Canis lupus familiaris: one gene and its partner. Each later gene encodes a partner of the first gene's protein in a complex. Links are inferred from orthologs where the notes say so. Each region holds a gene or a part of one and is shown in the gene's direction. Other genes may lie near its edges.

Region 1 (3,523 bases):
ATTTGAAAAGTCAAATTTTATCATTGGCAAAAGATGTGGTCATTTGTTTTCCTTGAAGTAATAGGTTCCCTTTGTTCAAGAAAATGCTGCTTATTGCCCAAGTCTGAATAACTGTAGTTTTTCTGTCAGATGTTCTTTCAAGTAAAAATGGAATTCCATTTAAAAAAAAGAGCTAATTTAATTCGATATTCAGACAATTGCACAAGTACTTTTCCTTTAGATGCCCATCATACTTCAGTGTGTAGCTAGGACACTGCATACTTCCATTTTTATCACAACAAAATTAGATGTATTTAAGGGCTAAGATACAGTCCTTTTCACTACTTCAGGGATATTCTAGAGTAAAACCTGCATTTTCTCCCAACCTGGGCCCCCTCCCACCCCGCCCTGCTGCCTAGTGAGAGTATAGTGAAGATTACAGTGGCTATTAGTATAGTCTGGTGCCACTGTTTGACTTGTTCTGAGGGCCAGCAGTTTTCCCTACCATTACCTTTGCCCCATTGGTACACATATGAACACAGTAAAAAGTTTAGTACTATCTTAGTATTACTATTTTAATAGTTTTGACCTCATCAAATCCTTGGAAGGATATTGGGGACCCACAGAGTCCACAGACCACACTTTGAGAACTGCTGTTTTAAAGAAATAGTTACTGAATTTGCAACCTCAGATACATCTGTGTAAACTGTCTTATTTTACATAAATTAACCCTTTTTTTAAGATTTATTTATGTATTTATTTATTCATGAGAGACACAAAGAGAAGCAGACACAAGCAGAGGGAGAAGCAGGCTCCTTTGCAGGGAACCCGATGCAGGACTCTATCCCAGGACCCCGGGATCACGACCCAAGCCAAAGGCAGACACTCAACCGCTGAGCAACCCAGGTGTCCCAATAAATTAACCTTCTTGATTTAGAGAGTTATAGTCTATAGCTATTTCAACCACTGGAAAAGATATATTTTCTCAATTCTGTTTCCTTGGCTCAATAAAGTGTTGATACCTCATTGTCAGACTGAACTACATGAGCGATCATGGTGGGCCTATGTCACTATTAGATCATTGGTGCTCTGTAACCTTAAAAAAAAAAAAAAAAAGATTACAGAGGCTCCTGAGAGTCTGTTAAATGTCCAACTCTTGATCTCAGCTCAGGTCTTGATCTTAGGATCATGAGTTCAAGGCCCGAGGCATGCTGAGCATGGAGCCTACTTAAAAAAAAAAAATAGATTGAAATGTCTTCTTTTCACTAATTGTGTTCATGTTTACTAATGTAATCATTCAAATCATTCATAAACTAAGAAAATTTAGGTCTAAACTGAATATAACTAGTTAAGCAGTGAGTGTATTGCCATGGAATTCAATGCGTGTACATAACTTTTTCTATGATACCATTTATGAATTATGGGTATGATCATTTATATCTGGATTACCTCTGTTTGTTTATGTTTAGATTTTTTTACAGGCTCTGATTCAATTCAGGGAACTTGGTGTAAAGACATACTTCAGACCATCATGAGTTTTACTCCTCATAATTGGGCATCACACACTCTTAGCTGTTTTCCAGGCCCACTACAGGTAATTTGGTCTTGAATTACATATTGAATATATACAAAATCATTCTTCCATTTAGTATATATGAAATCATTTTTTCCCATTAATTCATTTCTTCCCATTAATTTCCCATTAATTCATTTCTTCCCATTAATTCTAGAAAGCTGGTTTTAGCGATATCCAAAGGAAATTAGCTTCTGTTTCTTTTTTTAAAAACCTGTACTATTCCAAAGTCTCTTGAGTTGTTCCCTGACTTACTCTAGGCCTGGATACGTTCCTAAAAATTTAATTATGGTTTCATGTTATTAGTTAACAATTTTAGAATGTTGTGAGAATTAACACATTACCTGAAAAATTCTTTCTCTTTTTTAGAACTGAAATGGGGAGAGATACAACTTAACAGAGCTTCATAGAATACACATTGTTGCACTTGACTGAATTTTTTTTTTAATCATACAGAGAGAAAAACTACAAACTTGGCTTTTATACTATGGAAAAAGGAAAACCTCATCTGTCCTCTACTTTTCAATTAGCAATAATCGTGCCTCGGATAGACCTCATTGGCTGCAATACTGCCACTGCGCAAAGCTGTCCTCTACTTTTCAGAGAAAAGTTTAAGCATAATGAATATCTGCTTTATAGAACTTCCAACAGGGCTAGGGCAAGTAACTCTCAAACTTGGTAGAATTATCTAGAGGGCTTGATCAGATACAGACTGCTGAACTTCCAAAACAGGAGGTCTGAGACCCATTGGTTTAGTATAATGGATTTTCCTTTTAGAGATACTAAAATCTTTAACCAAAAGGCGCATAATTTCTTTCTTTTTTTTTTTTTTTCTTTTTCCCAAAGACAAACAGAAATATCAACAGATGTTTGAGGAAGCTTTGAATTCAGGCTTGCTTGGAATATCTATTTAGGAAATCTAAGAAAGGAATCTTAGAGATTATCTAGTCAAGCCTGTATATTTTCCCATTATAGAAATTCACACCTTGAAAAAAAAAAAAAAAAAAAAAGAAATTCACACCTTGATTACTTAATTACCTGAGGTCACATAGAGTTTATTAGTGTCAGAATCAAGTCCAGAACTGATTTCTTGACTCTGGCCATTGCTCTTCATTTTAGTATAAAAGTAAACTTTTGATCTTTTTTTTTTAGGCATTCTTCAAGCAGAATAATGTACCTCAGGAAAGCCGTTTTAATCTGAAAAAAAATGTGGAGGAGGAATATAGGAAGTGGAAGTCAATGACCAATGAAAATGACATCATTACCCACTTCTCTATGCAAGGCTCTCCTCCGCTCTTCCTTTGTCTTCTCTGGAAAATGCTCTTGGAAACAGATCATATTAATCAGATTGGCTATAGGTAAGCCAGAAACCTAGATCTGCATTCTATTTAACAAGCTGTTATACCACATAGCAATATAACTTGGTTTTTACTCTCTGCTTTCCAGAGTATTAGAAAGAATTGGAGCCAGGGCCTTGGTAGCCCATGTGAGAACATTTGCAGATTTCTTAGTATATGAGTTCTCTACATCAGCTGGAGGTCAGCAACTCAACAAATGCATTGAAATTCTTAATGACATGGTATGGAAGTATAACATTGTTACATTGGACAGATTGATTCTCTGCTTGGTAAGAATATGCTTATAAGAACAAGTTTCTAAGCTACTTCACTCTCTTTTAGATCATGGTGTGTGATTGATGGATCTTGTGCTGATGATCTATAAGGATTTAAGGCAATTATACTATAATCAAGCATTGTTATCACTTCCCTAAGGAACTAGAGATTTCCCATTGTCTCATTCAGCAAGTGTGTATTAAATATCTGCTGTGTTCTATGCACAGAAAATATAGAAGTAAATAAGGCAGACATGATCTGGCCTTGTGATGCTGTAAAAAGTACAAGCAATTAGGCCCTGAGTTGATTCCCAAAGGCTCTCATTAGAGGCAGGAACTGGTAAAAAGTCATTTTATTT
Region 2 (3,523 bases), on another chromosome or scaffold:
CCAGAGCCCATCTGCCATCCTGAAGGAGGGAGGAAACGAGGCAGAGGCCTACTGTCCCCATCCCTCAGTCATCCCTGCTGTGTGCCCAGGCCCCTCATGATCTTTTTCCCTCACAGCTGTGACTGTACAAAATTCCTCCTCCAAGAATGTAGCAAGCAGGGGCTTCTGTCCGAAGCCAGTGTGACCAACCTTCTGGCCAAGCGGTAAGCATGAGTTCCCCCCGGCCTGGCTGACGTGCCACTTGCCCCCCTTTCCTCCTGTCCAGGCTGGACTGCTGGGTGCCTCTCCCCTTCCCGTGCAGGTGCCTGGGGCCATGCCTAGGCTTACCAGGAGTGGCAGACACGGGTTTCTGTGCACTAGGCTTCTGCACCCTTGGGTGCTGCACTTGAATTCTCACCCTCTGTGAACACAATAAAAATCCTAAATCTTCCTTTAATCTCAAGTGAACTTTCAGAGTTGAGGTAATGATCAGTGACAAACTGAAGCAGTCACACCAGTGGACATGCATGCATGAACATCACCCCAACCGCAGAGGTTTTTCTATGCTCCCCACCTTCTCTGGGCCTCTGCTTCTGGCGCTGGACCAGGGAGCACATCAGGAACTTCTTTCTTTTCCCTTCTCTTGGCCAATGGCTTATGGCCACAGCGCAGCAGACCGGGAACATGCACCCCAGCTGAAATCAGGAGAAAATGCCAACATCCAGCCCAATCCTGGGCTGATCCTCCGGGCAGAACCCACTGTCACAAATATCCTCAAGGTGAGTATGCCCTTCCCTTGTCTCCAGGGTCATCTCTTCCTGTTTTCCACTTTTGCCTCTGCTTCCAGATAAAGGAAATTGAGGCTGTAGACCTCTTTGTCTTCTGGCTTTTATATGTAGTTACTTTGGAAGTAGAGAAGCAGGCAAGGCAGGGAAGCTGCCAATGAAAACTAGCATTTGTTGGGCACTGCTTGGAAGATAGGCACTGTGGTAGATGCTTCCACCTGCTCCTGCAGAAGCAGTGGGGACTCTCACACACACACACACCCACACCCCTACCGCCATGATCCCAGTTTAGTTGAGAGGAATGGATCAGAGAGCAGATGGATTTGGGGAGTGATTTTCCAGATTGGAGTCAGAAAGATATAGGTTGGATTTCAGGCTGTGGTATGCCACTTGATGGAGACGTGCAGAGCAGGAAGCTCTGGTTGATTAGGCTGTATCTGGTGGTCGTGGGAGGTCTTTGGGTTTTCTTCAGGACTTGATTTCCTGTTGTGTCCCTAGACGATGGATGCAGACCACTCCAAGTCCCCAGAGGGGCTGCTAGGAGTCCTGGGCCACATGCTCTCTGGGAAGAGTCTGGATCTTCTGCTGGCCGCCGCTGCTGCCACTGGGAAGCTTAAATCCTTTGCCCGGAAATTCATCAAGTAAGGAATGGTGAGCCCCTAACCGAGTTGGGAAGGCGTGTCCAAAGGAAGAGGTAGCAGAGTAGGGGCAAGACCCCAGGGTCTAGGTCTCCCTGGAGATGCCTAGGGCAAGCCAGAGCATCCCAGTTGAAGACACTGAGCGAAGGGCCAGGTCTCTGGATGTCAAGTGCTCTTTTCTCTGCTGCTGAGCATGAAGTAGAGGTGTTTGATGAGATGAGAGGCACTAAATGGTGGAGTGAAGGGATTCGGGTGCGCCCAGTTGTTACTAAGGGGCTCTCAAACACTGTTGACTCTTTGGTTGACATGGAATTTGATACATAGAACTTTGTTCCATCCGGTGAGCTGTTCTCTGGGCCTTGGATTTTTTTTTTCTTAAGATTTTTATTTTTAAAGATTTTGTTTGACACAGAGCATGCGTGCACCTGCATAAGCAGGTAGAGGGAGAAGCAGGCTTCCTGTTGAGGGGGTAGCCCAATGCGGGGCTCGATCCTGGGACCATGGGATCATGACCTGCGCTCAAGGCAGATGCTCAACCATTGAACCACCCAGGTGCCCCAAGATTTTTATTTATTTTTATTATTTTTTTTATTTTTAAAGATTTATTTATTCATGAGAAACACACACAGAGAGAGAGGCAGAGACATAGGCAGAGGGAGAAGCAGGCTCCATGCAGGGACCCCAACATGGGACTCGATCCTGGGTCTCCAGGATCACGCCCTGAGCTGAAGACGGCGCTAAACCGCTGAGCCACCGGGCTGCCCAAGATTTTTATTTTTTTTATTTTTTTATTTTTTTTTAATTTTTATTTATTCATGATAGGCACACAGTGAGAGAGAGAGAGGCAGAGACACAGGCAGAGGGAGAAGCAGGCTCCATGCACCGGGAGCCTGACGTGGGATTCGATCCTGGATCTCCAGGATCGCGCCCTGGGCCAAAGGCAGGCGCCAAACCGCTGCGCCACCCAGGGATCCCAAGATTTTTATTTTTAAATGATCTCTACATCTGTTTTGGAACTCAAACTCAAAGCCCTGAGATCAAGAGTTACATGCTCTAATGATCAATCCAGCCAGGCATGCTGCCTTGGAAATCTTTTAAAAACAAAGAGTTCTTTTTGTAGTGGTAGTGTTCATTTTAAGTTTCACCCTTAATTCAGACTTTAGTGACTGCCTTTCTGGACAGGCGTAGCCCCCTGAACCCTTGCCCTGCTTGCTGTGACCTATCTCTGTTCCTCCCCCAGTTTGAATGAATTCACGACACATGGCAATGAAGAACTCGGTAAGTCAGCTCTGTGCCCCCCGGACCCAGCACTGTGGAAGGGTCGGGGGAGAGAACAGGGGAGGACAGAGGGCCCGTTGCTCCTCCTGGGGAGGCTCTTTTCTCCCCTGAGCAATGACTGACTGAAGCTTTTGGGGAGCCTTGAAAGGGGAATGCTGGGCAAAGAATTCTTCCAAAACCACCTCTGTCTATTGCCCTCCCTCTTTATGATTTGGTTGGGTGCTGGGAAGGAGGAGGGTATCAGGAGTCTTGGATTCCAAGGAAGGGATGATGTTCCAATTGAGACTCAAGAAAAGGATTCTGAGCCTCAGAGCTTTGAAGGAGCCACTTGATCACTGACCTTCCTTGAGGCAAATCCTGACCCCCCCCTTCCGATCCAGACGAGGGTTCTGGGCCCTGCTCAAGGCTGTGGAGTCAGGCTTTTTGTTCCCCGTAGCCAAAGCAGCCTCAGTTCGAGCCTTGCTCTTCGACATCTCCTTCCTCATGTTGTGCCACGTGGCCCAGACCTATGGTTCAGAGGTGAGTGAGAGGAGAGCAGTCAAGATTAGGGGCACCAAGTGGGCAGGGAGAGGGGGAAGGAAATGACCAGTAACTTGGCCGCCCCTCCCCACCCCGCAAGCTACTTAGTTCTGCTGGGTGCAGAATGAAGGTGCCCCTGGGCCCATAGACGCCCCCTTTGGTTACTCCGGAATCCTTCAGTGCCACACCCACACCCACCACTAGGTGGCAGCATAGCCCCTGTCTTTCTCCCTGAGACCAGTGCATCTTTAGTTCTTCAGGCTGGAAAGAAGCAGCAGTGGGGCAGGAAACTGAGGCACAGAGCACTGGCTGCTGACCCTCCCT

The links.
Region 2: the proteins of MED23 (region 1) and MED24 are in contact, whole or in part, in a cryo-EM structure (PDB 7EMF), measured with the Homo sapiens proteins. The link is inferred for Canis lupus familiaris from reciprocal best matches to the Homo sapiens genes MED23 and MED24. Residues at the interface, in NP_004821.2 of Homo sapiens: Asn150, Thr151, Val152, Ser153, Ser154, Glu193, Gly194, Leu196, Pro197, Trp199, Leu201, Gly202, Asn203, Ser206, Asp207, Asp210, Arg213, Tyr258, Asp259, Lys260, Phe263, Ser1133, Arg1139, Ser1176, Glu1180, Glu1182, Trp1183, Val1184, Tyr1186, Arg1189; in NP_055630.2 of Homo sapiens: Lys238, Thr239, Leu280, Leu283, Lys287, Val291, Glu295, Cys336, Glu339, Phe340, Lys343, Leu344, Thr345, Pro346, Leu347, Asp349, Lys350, Gln353, Lys384, Glu720, Lys721, Trp723, Thr756, Arg757, Lys758, Glu759, His760, Met802, Asp803, Pro804.

What each region holds. Positions count from the first base shown.
Region 1 is NC_049233.1:365,056-368,578, forward strand, and holds part of MED23 (mediator of RNA polymerase II transcription subunit 23), read left to right. Parts: intron 1-1,448; coding exon 1,449-1,573; intron 1,574-1,992; exon of another isoform or gene 1,993-2,139; intron 2,140-2,704; coding exon 2,705-2,910; intron 2,911-2,998; coding exon 2,999-3,179; intron 3,180-3,523. UniProt on the Homo sapiens protein: Required for transcriptional activation subsequent to the assembly of the pre-initiation complex. Component of the Mediator complex, a coactivator involved in the regulated transcription of nearly all RNA polymerase II-dependent genes.
Region 2 is NC_049230.1:22,467,691-22,471,213, forward strand, and holds part of MED24 (mediator of RNA polymerase II transcription subunit 24), read left to right. Parts: intron 1-116; coding exon 117-203; intron 204-646; coding exon 647-758; intron 759-1,262; coding exon 1,263-1,405; intron 1,406-2,642; coding exon 2,643-2,680; intron 2,681-2,931; exon of another isoform or gene 2,932-3,035; intron 3,036-3,116; coding exon 3,117-3,199; intron 3,200-3,523. UniProt on the Homo sapiens protein: Component of the Mediator complex, a coactivator involved in the regulated transcription of nearly all RNA polymerase II-dependent genes.